Linked DNA regions of Tamandua tetradactyla. The protein of the gene in region 1 purifies or fractionates together with the protein of each later gene. This does not show direct contact. Links are inferred from orthologs where the notes say so. Each region holds a gene or a part of one and is shown on either strand. Other genes may lie near its edges.

Region 1 (8,248 bases):
CAAGCCCTTTTGACTACCATCCCCCAAATTTAGCATCCAAGAAAGGTAACAAACCTCATGATAATTTATTCACTGGAAGACTCTCATGAAATGGTTCATTTCTTAAACCTACTCTGAAGGACAATCATACTGGGAAATGCTATTGCCAGAAGCAAGTGAATCAAGGTTTTTTTTATCAGATGAATTAGTCCTCTATTACCAACTGCAACAAAAATTTTCCAGTTTGCAATTTACACTCAGTTTTATGCTGGACTCTGGGAATAAGATTCAAGTTCTGCCTATGTAGAATTTTTATTACATATAATAAAAAACAGGTAGACAAGCCCATGTCTCTTAAGAAGGGAAAGCATTCGCAGTCACCTAGCAGCAATTACCTTTGCATAATAGGACATTATGTGGATGCTGTGCTCTTTTATATTGGAGTTTGTTTATATTTTACTGACTTATTGTTGAAGTTGTTTTGATTGTTAAGAATTTCAAAGTTTTTATTAGTATTGATTTCAGTATGCATCTGAATTTGATCTTTGGCATAGTCATTTTTTATTTTGGCTATTTTTTTCGTTACGATATTCCTAGTTCATGAAGTTTTTCTTTTGTGAAATGGAAACTTTTACACACAAAATTTTCAGTCAGAGAGGCTGAGTTCAGTAAGTGATTTTTGTAAGTCCGAATAAAACATGAATGAGTTGGGATTATTTGGGAGCAGGGAGGAGATTTTGCAATTGGGTCTTATTTAGGCTGCACACTGGGATGTTAACAAATTAAGGAGGCAAGTTTAACGTTCATGAAAAAGTGGAAGTGCAGCGCCAGGCGCCAATATTTCACATGACTATTTATAGAATATGTACAGATTCAAACTATCATTTTCCTCTCTATGAGATTTACACTATAATTCTGCTATTGGATTCAGAAGTTCATGTAAACAAATTCATGTGCTGTTAACATTAAATACAGCCACAAAGATTTACCTTTATCATGAAATGTGTGTGTTTTTAACATCAGAGGTGAGTGGATTCAAAAGGGGGTGTGTGTTAGAGTGTGACTTGTCTATACGTGAATTTTAAAAAGTAAGAAAAGTCCTAAACCTTTATCCTCAGGCTTCTACATGTCTGTTTCGTCAGCCAAGTGGCTATGGTGGAATGGCACATCAAGCATCTCCAGAAAGCTGAGGGCTAAAATGTCAAGCTTTTCCAACAGATGTTCCTAGTAAAGTTACCAGGCATTTCTACACAATTTGGTTTTTCCAGATGAGTTGGGCTTGTTCTTTCCTCGGAGCTATTATGATGCTAATAGGAGTGGCTGGCACACAGGATAGGCACAGATTCAGCGGCACCTCGAATATAACAAGGGGGCTCCTGTCATTCTCTGCCCCTCCCCTCCCCATCTATGATTGGAAATTAGGGGCCCTTTTATCAAGAGCAACTACAGCAGTCAGAAGTCTGATTCCAACACTTAAAAGCAGGGAAGTAAAGGGCTGCTATTTTCAATTCACCTCTGACATGGCCACTCTTCAATGTCCTTCCCAGGTGGAATCAAGCGCCTGACCTCACCTCTCTCCCTGACAAAATCTCTTGGCCGAGGCAGTGGTGGTGGAGAGGTCTGGACCGGCAGAACAAAATCCTTCAACGCTTCTACACAGACATGTCGTTTTTCTGCCAGTCCCTGCAGTGCACCTGTCTGCCCTGGGAAGCACATTTCTCAGCAGAAGGCCCGAGAGTCCAAGAGCTTTAGATTTGATCCTAGGGCTGGGAAAGTGGGCGCAGGGCTTGGGAGACGCAGGCGGGTGTCTGGATGTCTGAGCCCGAGCCGGCTTTCCCCAACCCCGACCAGAGAGGAGGGGCCGAGGTTTGGAGGAACGACCCGCTGCCCGCTCGGCTGCAGCCACCGCGTCCCGGCCTCCGCACAGCCACCTTCGGGGGTCGATGCCGCTGCCCGTGAGCCCCTCTCCGGGACAGCCAACAGTGACCGCCCGGCCGCAAGAGAAAGTAAACAACACCCCAAGTGGCTGGGAACAAAGGGCAAGTTGTCTTTCTGCGGTGCCGGTGCCGGAGCTGCGTGCCTCTGCTACGAAAGAATAAGAGCTATTATTATTCTTTCTTTCTTTCTCTGTGTTTTTTTTTTTTTTTTAAACCAAGTTTCCTTCTAAGGGAAATAAACACCAAAGGTAGGATTCCAAGGAAATGACTCACGGCGGTTGGCAGGGCTCTGGCGAGGCTGGCCCGGGCCCCGCGCTCCAGACCGCAGCAGATGCCTGCCGGGTCCTCCCTCCCTCGCGGGTCAGACCTACTCAGAGCCCGCGGCTGCGGGAGTTCCCTTCGCACCCGAGGACAGGAGCCGTGACAACACGGCCTACCGCCCCCGCCCGGGACCACTCGGTCCGCGCCACCCCGAGCCCCGGGGCCGCCTGTCCTCCAGTCTCTGCGGCACCAGTGGGCACCGGGGAAAGTTGCTAAGGCCGAGGAGGCGGGAGGGGAGGAAGGGGGGAGAGAGGCGGAGGCGTGGACCAGGAGGGCTGCAGCCTTAGCCCGCCAGGGAGGTGAGCTGAGGACAGAGGAGCCGCCGCCGCCCGCAGCGCGGCTCGGCTGCCTGGGAGGAGGGTGCGGGGGCGGAGGTGGCGGGGGACAGAAGGTGTCAGCTCCAGCAGCTATTCCTTTTTCTTGCAAACGCGCGCTCCTGACATCTACAATTTCTCTCCCTCCCCACCTGCCAAGCGTCGCGGCTTCCAGACCAGTCGTCCCTAGTACTGACCACGTCCCCTAGGGTGAGGGCAGAGGCGGCGGTCTGAGGTCCCAGCAGAGCCGCTGTCTCCACCCGCCCCTTGAGTCGACTACGTCCACACGGGCGGCAGCCCGAGCGGCTCTAGAGGCGGCGGCGGTTCCCGCCTGGGTAGAGGCGCCGCGGCGCACGCCCAGCCCTGGAAAAGCCCGCGCCGCCTCCTCCCCGGCCTCACACCGCCCCCGACCCTGCCGGGTGCCGGTCCACTAGGTGACCCCGGTGCGACACAGCGGCTGGAAGGGAGCGCGGGGAGCCGCGTGAGTGCCAGCCCGCGCCAGCAGACGCTCTGGAGAACCAGCCTCCGCCTTCCACCCTCCCTGGCCCTTCCGCCCTGGCGGCCGGCTCCCAGCCCGGCTCTTACCGCGGGGTCAGCGGGGAGGCGGCGGCCGCAGCGCCGGAGCTGCTGCTTATCCGCTCTGGGGTCGGCGCCAGCCGGGCCGCCAGTACACTCGCGCGGGTCCCGGCCCGGCGGCCCGATCGGCGGTGGCCGCTGGTGCGCGGTGGGCGAGGGTCCCGGTAGGTCCCGCCGCCGCGTCTGGGGCGCTGCGCCGCCGTCGCTGCAGACGGTTATGGTAATGAGCGGCTCTGTCTAGCGAGGAGCGTGTGAAACCCGTCAATCCTGTTTGCCATTTCCCCGTGGATTTCCGAGGAGAGGTTCTGCAGGATGCCCCCAGGGTGAGAGAGGGAACATGACAAGCGCGCCCGCTCCCGCTCGCTCCCTCCCTCTGCCGCCGCCGCCGCTCCTCAGGCAGCACACGGGGCGCCTTCCCCTCACCCCCACCCCAGCCCGCCCCCTGCCTCCTTCCCGCCCTCCCTCCTCCCTCCCCTCCCCTCCCCTCCCCTCGCGGTGCCCGGGGACACGCGGGCCCAGCTCCAGCCTGCAGCCCAGACCCCACGCACACCCGGGCTCCCGCCCTAGCCTTGGGGGCTCGGCTCCAGCCCAGAAACGTGTTCACTCTGCAACCTTCTGAGATGTCTTTTCTTATTATTTTCTAAAAATTGGTTTAGTTTTATTGTTGTTGTGAAGGGCATGTATGTGTGTGTGTGCGTGCGTGCGCGCGCGCGTGTGTGATATTAAAAAAAGAATCTGTGCCTTTCCCACCCTTTGCAATAGACTTTCTTCTCCTTTGCCACAGCAAGCGGAGATGAGAAACAGATGTCTTTGCAGGACCAAGCAGTTACTCTCCCCTCCGCGCCCGCCCCCGCCCGTTCCTCTCCTGAGCTACATATGTACAAAAAAGCAACCTTGGTCCTGCTGCAACTTGAATTGGTAACTCTCTCGGGGCGGGAGGGGGGCGGGGGAGAAGCTCTAGGGAAAACCTCCAGGAAATAAAAAGTAATAGAGGAAGCTGGCTTTGTCAACAGAAATGTTAATTTAAGCCCCAGAATCACATGATTTTGCAAATAGTTGTTTTTCCCTATATTGGGTTCAATTTGTTTGGTTGGTTTTTTTTAAACATTAATTCATAATTTCTGTCTAGGAATCCCCCCTCCCTAGTCAAGATTGGTCATTTCAGGTGTAATGAACACAGAGGCTTGGAAGGCATAAACCTAATAAAATCGGGGGAAGGCACCTGCACAAAAGTGTTACAAAGACTACAATGTTTGTTTACTGCTACCATGCCAGATGTGCTAAATATAACACTTCTTTAAAACAGTGATCCTCCGACTGTGAAAAACCGAACCTCTTGCTGCCCCTGGCACCCTAGGAATCAAGGAGATGCACAGACTGAGAATCAGGGAGGAAAGGAACAAGATCAAGGATGAGGATTAGCATCTGCAAATTGAACTCTATCTAATTTGCATGTTTATTTCTTAGAATTGTAATTAAATTTGTGTAATAAATGTTTTCCATTTCATTTGTACACTTAAAATTTGGGTGACTGACATGCAGTTAAGTGAATTTCTTTTTTTCTTAAAGCAAATGTAGTTGATTCAATAAAGCAGCAAACAAATACTAACCATAATTAGAACTAATCTGTTCTGAAGGTATTTTTGTTGAACTCTGTACATTAAAGACTTTCAGAGGTTTTAAGGGTATTAGGAAGCTGAGAGAAGGCAATTATGCTGAAAAGAGACTAACCCAATAGAATTTCAGGAGCATTATTTCATATTTTCCAAAAGACATTCCAGTGTTGCTTGTCTGAAATTGGGACTACAGCAACCATCTTGGCTTTATTCCGAGTCATGTTAAACTGCACTGGTTTATGCATGATGTAGGCCATTATGATGATAATTTAAGAATTGCAGTGATGCCATATTGTGCAATCAATAGAAGTTCCATGCCCAGGTTAAGGAAAGAATATAATTTACATATGATGGGGGAGGAGAGTAAGGAAGGGGATGAGAGCATTTAAAGCAGCACAAGTACTTAAAAATCTAAACCACTCTAGAACTGGTTAGCCTCTAACTCAAATAAAGAACTAAATGTGAGGGCTTGGAGGCATGGCTTATTATTGTTTTTATCTCCCTATATTAAACTTTTATGGCATTTAAAGGACTGTGGGGAAATCCCCACATAGTCTTGGCTGTGTTGAAATACATAAAACCAAAAGGAACAAATTAAGCATAAAATTGAGAAATAACATGAGACTAAGTATTAGCATGGGTTGCATTGGCATCTTTGGAGCTTTGACTCGGAGAAACAAGTCTTCTGGGAAATTGTCATTGCCCTTGGGTGGGAGGACTCTTGGCTTTAATGTTAAAGCAAAATGACATCACAAGTATCAAAACAGTTGTACTGCACAGCAACCTTGTGGATCTGAGTATGAACTTGCCCCTGTCTTGTTCAGATACATTAGGGTAGCATGTTTTTTTCTGACAGCTTTCCCTGCTCTACTTTTAACCTCAAAGCTTAATGTTTTCTGAAATTCAGTGCACAACTGTTGGCAACATGAACCTGTGTCGACAAGCACAAAGGGCAGTCAAATGTTCACTGAATGAGAAATATCATCTAAAAATTTAAAGTAAGCAGTGGCTATGGCACAAGAAAAAAAAATACCTGTGACTCAATGAAATATTTGGAACGAGAGAATGTAATTTATAGTGAGTTGCAATATTTAACCTGAGAACTATGATGTCATCATCTTGTGATGTGTGTGTGTGTGTGTGAAGTTCTGAGATAGGAGTTTGATTATAAAACTTAAAATAACTTGAGCTGCAAATTCACTGAAGGAGGGATTGTTTTTCTTCAGTTAACAAAGAGAGTGCCAGACATAAAACTGCTGAAACCCATTTCACAAAAACTTTATATCATTTGAAAGGGGGATTTCATGAGTAAAATTTTCCTTATTCAGGAAGGACATAATGGCCATTTGGATTAGTGAAAAATATGAATTACTGGCTTTTTTTTTCAAGTGCAGGATCTTAACAGTGAAAAGGATAATCTATACTGAATCTCTCCATTGCTCTCTTCTCACACCCTCTCCAATTATGCTTTCATCCCATCACACCACTGAAACTGCTATTGTCAGTGTCCACAATGACTGCCATGTTGTTAAATCCAAAGATCGTTTCTCAGTTCTCATCTTACGTGACCTATAAGCAGCATTCAACCCGGTTAACTACGTTTTCTTCCTTGAAATACTTCTTACTCTTTCTTCCAGAACAGTATACCCACTTGGTGTGCCTTCTCCCTAGTGGTTGTTCCTTCTAAGTCTGCTTTGCTGGTTCTTCCTCTTCTCTATGACCTCCGAGTTGGAGTGCTTCAAGATGAATCCTTAGACTTTGTCTCTTCTCTATAGCCAATCCCTTGCTGATTTCATAGCTTCAAATACTATCTATGGTCTGATGACATCTAAATTTCTGTCCCCAGCCCAGACTTCTCTCATAACCTCCATACTCCATTTGGATGTGTAACAGGTACTACAAACTTTACAGATCTAAAACTGAACTCCTGATTGTCCCTGCCTTCCTTGCAACCTGTGCCACCTTTAATGTTCTCCACCCCATCTCCACCTCATTTAATAAACCACATTGTTTTTCTGGTTGCTCTAACAAACAAATGAACAAACTTGGGCTCATCCTTGACTCTTTTTTCTTCATGCTTTACATCTAATTCATCAGAACATCCTCAAGTCTCTACCTTTACAATCATCATCTCTTGCTTGGGTCATTACAATAGCCATCTAACCGATTCCCTGCTTCTTCCTTTGGCCCCCTCTGCAGTTCAATCTCAGCTCAGTAGTCAGTGATACAACTTTGACTAAGAATCTCCTTAAGGTTCCTCATTCACTAAAAGTATAATGGCCTACAAAGTCTGCCTCCAGCCCCTCCAGTTCCCCTGGCCTCCTGGCTATTCTTCTAATAACTTCACTCTGACTTCTCTTAACTTTACTCTGCCTCCAGCCCCTCCAGCCCCTCTGGCCTTCTAGCTATTCTTCTAATATGCCAAACTTGTACTTACCTCAAGACATTTGCGTTTGTTATTCCCTGTGCTTAGAATGCTTTTCCCCAGTTAGCTGCACAGATCAGTGCCCTACCTCTTCCTGGCCTTTGCTTTAAGATTGCCTTCTTAACCAAGCCTGATCACTCTGTTTGAAATGCTAACACTTCACCTCTATTCTGCTTTATTTTTATCCAGAGAATTTATCACCTTGTAATAAGCTCTATAATTTATGTGTTTATTTTATTTATCACTTCTCCCCTTTTACTAGAAAGTAAGACCCATGAAGACAGGCATTTTTTTTGCCTTCTTATTCATGCCTGTTTTCTCAGCACCTACCAGTACTTAGAATACTGAAAGCACTTAATAAATATTTCTTGATTGATTGGACAGTTGACCGAGAGTTACTTTCACTTCTGTACGGAAGCTCAAACAAGGCTGAATTAGAGCTATAACAGTCTTTTGTATAGAATGGGCATGAAGTTTTTATCACCAACTCATTTATCTGTTCTAGAGTTATCTGGCCCTGTGCTCTTCTCTGCACTGCAGCATTCCAGGACCTGAAGACATCCTAAGATCCCCAGGCACCCCAGGCCTGTCTGAGAGTACCTGACACACTGTTTTATCAAGTGGTTGCTGGTGCTTTTGACCAACCCTCCTTTTTTACAACACAGATTTCCATTCCTTGCCAAAATGCTTGTCCAAAGCTAGAGTCTTAGACAAAATGACAAAGTATGTAAAGTTGCTCTCCAGAACCCTCGGATGTCATTTCTTGGCGAAAGTATCCTTTCAGGAGTCAGAAACTCCTCCAATGTCTTTCTCATCTTCCTTCAAACCTCACTCAAAAACACTTCCATAATTATGTGGATTTTAAACGCCACCATTGAGCTAGGTACTGCAAGTGTAGTAGAGGTAAATAAGACACTGTTCTTGGACTAATGGAGTTCTCAATATATTGAGTAGCATAAGACAAGCATAGAAAGAATGACATAATTCAGAGCATAGTAGATGCCAAGGGATTTCAATGGAGGGACAGATCTCATCTAACTGGGAGAATCAGATAGTGGAAGGTAAATGGGGGCCATGAGT
Region 2 (7,351 bases), on another chromosome or scaffold:
TCCTCCCACAGGCACTGTGGCTCTGCTGGGTGCTTTCTACATTAGCATAGTCCCTGGTCATCCCAACAACCCATTAAGAGAGATCACTATTACTTTTCCCTTTGCAAAAGGAAGAAACTTTTCCAAGGTTGCATAGCAGGTGAAGAGTCAGAAGCAGGATATCAACTCAAGTTCTGTCTGAAGTCCAGCTCTGTAATCTACTCTGTGCTCTGGGCATAAAATGCAGTCAGGGATGCAAGAGTGTTAAAGTCTGTTTTCACTTAAGGAAGCCAGAGTTTTCCTAAAATTCTAATAAGTATTATTAATTGCTTCCTCTACTAGACCCTGCCCTCCCTGAAGGCAGGAGTTCTGCCCCTGTCCCCTTGACTCTATACCTTATGCACACTGGTGCTCAGTCTGGGTGCAACTGCGTCCCCCACAAAGGCATGTTCAAGTCCCAACCCCTGTTCCTGGAGTGTGAACCCATTTGTGGGTAGGACTGGTGAAGATGCTAAGGTGAGCCCAGACTGAACAGGGGTGGGCCTTCCTCCAATGTGGCAGACGTCCTTGTAAGCAGGGGAAACTGGATATGGAAACAGAAGCCAAAGATGGAGAGAGGTCACCGCAGGATGGAAGCAGAAATGCATACACAAGCCAAGGAACCCCAAGAATGGTGGCGAGCCAGCATGAGAAAGCTACAGACGCCAGGAGGAAGTATGGCCTGGCAAGACCTCGATTTTGGACTTCTAGCCTCCAAAACAGAGCCAGTCAGTTTCTGCCATTGAAGCTACTCGAGAGTGTGGGATTTAAAGGAGCAGCCCTGGCACACTGAGACACTGAGGTTTTCCATCTAAAAATGTGGGGACAAGGGTACAGGAATGCTTGGGTGAGGCCCCAGCAGGAGTTAGCCACTCATCAGCAATCTGCAGTTCCGAGGCGGCTCCCTCACGCACCCTCTCACCTGGGAAGCTATCATTCGCTCCCATTTCACAGGCAAGAAACTGAGTACCAGTGAGAAGAGACACCCGCAAGGGCCCAGGGCTCCCTGCTAGAATATAGACTGCCTGCTCTCAGGGCTAGAACAGTGGCTTGCCACCACTGAAAAGGGATTAAAAGCCATTTCTTCTTTCTCCTATAGCTACACACTTGTCCTTGCTCTCTTCTGCCGAGCACTCGTGAAATTCTGAAATAAAATGGGGAATGGAGTAAGGGAAAAAATCAACCTTTGTAATGTCTACTAAGGGTCAGGCATGCTGCTTTTTACTTTTAATCATACACCTGGCCCTGTGCTGTCACCCCCAATGCACAGATGATAAAACGGAGGTGTCCCCGGGGAGGCGGGGCCAGGCCATGCTGGGGAACAGCTGAGCGGACCTGGCAAGTTCCCCTCTCCACCAAAGCCAGGCCGCTGGGCCCCCTGCCAGCGACCCAGAGGCCTCTTTAACCCTCTGCTGCCCACCAGGCTAGGAGCAGAGAAAGAACAACCCTGACACAGGCCCATCCTTGCTCAGCCTCACCCAGGCAGCAGACATAGGGTGGCGTTCAGCCTCCTGGGCAGCTGTGAGGGCCCCCGGTTGGGAGCAGCTCTCTCACCCAGCCCTGCAGCCCTGCCCCCTCCCCCACCACACACACACACACACACACACACACACACACACACACACGCACACGCCCATCAGCAAAGCATGACTCAGCGGTTCTCCTCAGGGAACTGGGGGCACACTCCACCCCCATCCAATGCTCCCCTGCCACCAGATCAGGAACAGGGGGGAGCCCACCTGCCGGGGCCCCGCGCTCTCCCGGCCCCACAGGGCTCCAGCCCCGGGACTCGGCCTCATTTCCGGCAGATCCAGGCATCCAGGCATCGGGCTGGCAGACGCAAACTGCCGCTGAGCCCCGCGAGCTCCCTGAGACAAGCACCCACGCACACCAACGCTGTGGGCTGCAGTGCTCAGGGCCCCTCAGTGAGCCCCTCCCCAGAGCCCTTCCCACATGGGCACCCACCAGGGGCACCCCTTGCCCAAAGCCCACCAACACTTCTGCAGCTCCTGGGAAGATGCCCACCGCCCGTGGACACGGAAGGCCTCGGGAATAATGAACCCGGCGCCCGCAGCCTCCCCACCCCCCACCCGGGGCTCACTCCGCAGCCCTCTGGCCGTGCACCGGAGGTGTCGCCGCTGTCCCCTAGGCAAGGCCCCTTGGAAGTTACTGACCTACAAAAAAGGGACGGTGACCCTCTGGATTCTTATGGCCGACTTGGGAGATTTCAAATGCAGGGCCCGTTTGGGGAGGCATGTCCCACTTTTCAGGGAAATCCTGACCGTTTCCGGCCAGCTCCTCCTGCCTCAGTATATAAATCACCAAGAATAAAAGACCAAACTCCAGCGGCCTCCTTCCCCCTCCCGCTAAGGGACCCCTGCCTCCAGAGGCCCAGGGAGGGGAGGAGGAGGGACAGCCAAGGACCCGGCAATTGGATTTTTTCTTCTGGGTCCCTCTTCGTCTCCAGGGAGTGGGCAGCCTAGAAAATTCTGCGGGTTTTGGGCAGGGCTGAAATGTCAAATTCAGGGTTTTAACCCATTACATTTCCCCCCCCCCCCCCCCGGATTCCTTCACCAGATTAGCCGAAGGGATGGCCTTTTCAGAAACGATGGCCGGGGCGGTTCAGGATGCCACCTGGCCACGGAGCGAAAAGCTGCCTCCCGCGGTGACTCCCGGAGGGCGGCGCGGAGGAGGGCATCGCCTCTCCGCCTGGCAGGGAAGGCGACCCCGCCTGGGCCCTGGCTGCTGACCCCCGGCTCCCTCCCTCCTGGGCCCGGGGCGCGTGGGGCGGGGTGGGGTGGGGTGGGGTGGGGTGGGGTGACACGACACACATCGCGCGGTCCAAACCTTCGGAGGGCATTCGGTGCGACGGCATCCCCACGCCGCGGCCGGCCGGAGGGGGTCTCAGACAACACGTACGTTACCTTCAGTCACATAGCTGTGGTCCCGCAGGAAGCTGTGGTTAATTTTCCGCGTGTCCGTGTCCTCGCCCATTGAAGGCCGTGCCCGGTGCCCTGGGCATGCCCCGCCGCCGCACACCGATGCAATCCGCAGAGGTCGCGCCGGGCGCGCGGGCCATGCCGCCGCAGCCTAGCAGGGGCGCGGGCCGCCGGGGCCCCGGGGGGCGGGCATCGCGGGCGTGGGGGGCGGCCGGGCGGGGGGCGGGGGCGCCGCGGTCAGGCGAGCGCGCGGCGGGCGGGCGGCGGCCGCGGGGTCGGGCGGGCCGGGGGCCGGGCGCGCATCCCGGCCGGCCCGTGCGCGCTGCGTCGTGCGCCCGGAGGCCGGGCTGCGGGGCGCCAGGCGGCGGCGGCGGCGGCGGCGGCGAGGGGACGCGCGCGGCGCTGCGCCGAGCGAGCCGGGGCCGAGCCGGGCTGCGCGGGCTGGGGCGGCCGCCGCCGCTGTCGCAGGCCCCTCCCTCGCGCCGCCCGCTCCTCCGCCCCCGCGCCCCGCGCCGCCGGCCCACGAGCGACCCCGCAGGTGGAACCTGCGCCAGGCCCAGGCGGCGGCTCGGGGCTCCGGCCCCGCGCGGGTGGGCACCTCGGGAGCCCGAGTGCGCCGCAGGGGAGGTTGGAAGGAAGCGGTCGGTTTGAGGGACGGGGAGCGGGTCAGCTCAGCTTTGAGGGTGCGTCTTGGTGCCCCGGTGCTCCGGGAATAGAAGAGGCGGCCGACGTTTGGGTGGATTGGGTTGTGGGGGGCCGCTGAAGAGCTGGGGCGGCGTACCTGGAGAATGGGTCACTGCGGAGGGGGTGGGAGGGCAGCGGTCCCGAGGCCGGCCCACAGCCCAAGTGGCCGGCAGGTAGAAGAGGGGGCGTGGGTCAGGTCCCTTCTAGCCCCCTCCCCCGCTCCAGGAGCGCAAAATGGGCCCCGTGAAGAAGCTGGGGCGTGGGGGCAGGGGGGCTGGAGGGTGTCAGCACAGTCCGGGACAAGCTGGGTGAGATGCTGGCTCCGTGATCACGCTTCTGCACCTAACGCACCCCTTTCCTTCCTGGTGAGCAGAAGTGGCAGGCACAGTGCCGCGTGCATGCCAAAAGCATGCAAAATGCTGTCCCCGCCCCCACGCCGTAGCGCCGTGCAGGAGCTGCCGGCCTGCCTCCCTTTAATCATGTGTCCCCCAACATCTTACACGGTGCCTAGCACATAGTAGGCCTTCAAGTATTTATTCCCTCTCTGGCGGAACCCCCAGTTCCCGGGAGCAAAGTCCCGGCCCTGTGACCCTGAGTGCTCTGCTCTGATCGCAGGGCCAGGGGGCTTCTAAATCAACCCTTGGGACCCAGTAGTCTGTCTTTGGAAAGGGACTGGGAGGCGAGGGAAGAAATGCAGTGGGTAGCCAGGGTGTCTGGTGCTTCCCCGAGATGGGGGTGGGGGTGGGGGTTCAAGCCGGCAGGAGGTGCAGTCGCTCCCACCCAATTTCCCCACTGGTTAAGCCCTCCGCTCCTTTCATCTGGTTTTGTGGGGACTCCAAGCAGCTCCCCAAATCAGCCGCAGTGAGGGCAGGAAGTTCAGAAAGGGCTGGTTAGAGGATGGGGGTTACGGGAAAGACTGGCCAGGGTGGGTGCCAGCTGTGGCGGAGGGCAGTGCCTCAGCTAGAGCTGGGCTTTCATCCAAAACAAATGCTCAGAATGGACCTGTGGGTGGTGGAGACCCCCCTCCCCCCCTCCACATAGGGAGTAAATGGACTAGACCAGGGGTGAGGTCCTGGAGGGAGCACCTCCTGGCTGAGTGACCTGGGCAAGTCCTCCAACCTGTCCCAGCACAGGTGTGCAAAGTCCATGCAAGGACCGGGTAAGGCTTCTGCCTGGGACAGCACCTGGCCTGGCACTGACGCAGCCAGCCCTCAGGTCACCTCCTACCTGACACAAAGGTGACTTTCACACTGGCTTCTTTCTCCCACCAGCCTGGGAGTGCCCAGAGGGCATAAGATCTGTTCTCCTCTCTCCGTAAGGCCTGGGCTCCTCAAATACCCGACACCTCGCTCCCTAAACCAACACCCCACTCTCCGCCTACACCCCTAGCACAACAAAACACCCAAAGCCATGGACACTGGAAGACAGATGGAGGGGGCCAAGGCATGGCCAGCCTTATCTGTGAAATGGACGCAGCCACTGGATGCGCCTCCCAGGGCTTCTGTGCTTCCCCCTCGTGCAGCTCCCATCCCTTCCTCACTGATTTTGGGGAGACCCCCACCCCCATGCCATCCTTCTGGTCTGTCAGGTCTGCTGAAAGCCCCAGACCACAATATAACAGCCCTGCCCTGGTCGTCAGCATCTCAGCCACTCTGGGCACCCCAAGTTGGGAGTTTCTAACCTCCCAGGGTCCACCAGACCCCACATCAGCCCCTGCCCCCCTGCAAGGTGGTCTCGTCTGCCGCCCTCGGGGGCTCGTCCTCCGTCTCCCGGGGCCCCTTGCCCTCATCCATCAGGGCCCAGGCCTCTGGGGCTCCTTCCACCTCTCCAGGATGCTGCCACCACCACCCCGATACCACCACTTGCACCAGCTGCCCCATCTGTGTCTGCACACCCCTTCCCCTGCCCCACCGCTCCTCACCCTGCCCCTACAGCCCCCTCCCTCCTCACCAGCTGCTCCCATTTATTCATTCATGACAAATGTTTGTTGAGTGCCCACTATGTGCAGGCAGGAGGCTTAGAGCAGGGAAAAGAACAGATAAAATCTCCAGCTCTCGTGGGGTTGACCTCATGGTAGAGCAATGCAGACAATTCCAAGTGAACATCCGATGGCCTGCCTGGTCCTTGCCCCCTCCCTTAGCTGACCTCCCACTGCAGCCACCCTGCTGGCCACCCCCACCACCTTCCCTGACCTCGGTGACACCACCTGCTGCTCTAACTCCTCTGCCTCCTTGGCTGCTTTGGAAGTTGCACGTCTTTCAATGGTCCCTGAAACGGGTCTCGGTGTTCTTCTCTTTTCCCCCCTGACTTGTTTTACCTGGAGTTACAGTACGTGTGCAGAGAAGTGCACAAAACGTAGAGTCAACTCAGCCAACTATCGTGGGGCAAACATTCATGTAACTGCCCCCAAGTCAGGAATGAGGACGTGGCCCGCCCCCTGGGGCCTCCTTCACTATCCCCTCTTGCCACCGTGGGTCCCTCCCCAGAGGCAACCACCACCTTGGCTTCTCACACTGGAGTTTTGCTTGTCTGAGAACTTTCTACAAATAGAATCATAAGGTTTGGCTGGCTTTGTATCTAGTTTCTTCTGCGCAACATGACGCTTCTGAGATTCACTCATGTTGTTCTACATATATAGCTGCAATTTGTTCATTTTTCACTGTTGTATAATATTCCATCATGGAAATTCACAATTTCTCTGTTCTACTATTGGACATTAAAAGTTTCAATTTAGAGACTATTATGAATAATGCTGCCATGTCTCAGCACATCATGCACACGCTCCTGTCAGGGAATTGTCACATTGCTGGAAGACTGGGTGTACATACAGCCTATGTATGTTCAGCTTTATGTATTAGTTAGGGTTCTCTAGAGAACAGAATCAACAGGAAGCACTTGCAAATATAAAATTTATAAAAGTGTCTCATGTAACCATGGGAACGCAGAGTCTAAAATCCACAGGGCAGGCTGTGAAGCTGACGATTCCGATCGAGGGTCTGGACAAACTCCATAGGAGAGGCTCGCCAGCCGAAGCAGGAAAAGAGCCTGTCTCTTCTGAATCCTCCTTAAAAGGCTTCCAGTGATTAGACTGAGCATCACCATTGCAGAAGACACTCCCCTTGGCTGAATATAAATGGAATCAGCTGTGGATGCAGCTGACATGATCATGATTTAATTCTATGAAATGTCCTCATCACAACAGACAGGCCAGCACTGGCCCAACCAGACAAACAGGTACCACCACCTGGCCAAGTTGACACATGAACCTGACCATCACACTTGAGTACCTGCCATTAAACAGCCTCCAAAGATGAAATGTAAGAGAGTCCCCGCCTCTGCACAGGCTCGTTAAAGAGTTTGTTGTTATTTCCTGCGAGTCTAGCCATTTGCCACACCCAGCCCTGCCTGCACTAGCTCTCATCTCCATTCCCATTTCTCAAGGCATAGGCTCCCCCTCAACTCCTCCCTCGGCGTCAACCACCAAGGCCCCAGGCCTCCACAGACAGAGCTCTCCAACCCTCCATTCCTTGTGCCAGCTGCCCTGCTAGAATCCAGGGCTTCACCCTCTGCCACGCGGACTGAAAGCCAACTGGGCCATATTCTCTAACCTGCTTAAAATGAGTTAAGACTCACAACACCTACATGCTAAAGCCTAAATTCCAAGGTTTTCAGAAGCTGTCCCTAAATGCATCTCCAGCCAATTCCCTGTG

What was found.
Region 2: the proteins of SERTAD4 (region 1) and PPP2R2C purify together in Homo sapiens (affinity purification with mass spectrometry; 3 studies listed by BioGRID and IntAct, counting the BioPlex papers as one, with this or other methods). This does not show direct contact. The link is inferred for Tamandua tetradactyla from reciprocal best matches to the Homo sapiens genes SERTAD4 and PPP2R2C.

What each region holds. Positions count from the first base shown.
Region 1 is NC_135330.1:68,422,642-68,430,889, reverse strand, and holds the start of SERTAD4 (SERTA domain-containing protein 4), read right to left. Parts: upstream 3,190-8,248; 5' UTR 3,137-3,189; intron 1-3,136.
Region 2 is NC_135345.1:6,446,534-6,453,884, reverse strand, and holds the start of PPP2R2C (protein phosphatase 2, regulatory subunit B, gamma), read right to left. Parts: upstream 3,058-7,351; 5' UTR 3,013-3,057; coding exon 2,943-3,012; exon of another isoform or gene 2,894-2,942; coding exon of another isoform or gene 2,866-2,893; intron 1-2,865. UniProt on the Homo sapiens protein: The B regulatory subunit might modulate substrate selectivity and catalytic activity, and might also direct the localization of the catalytic enzyme to a particular subcellular compartment.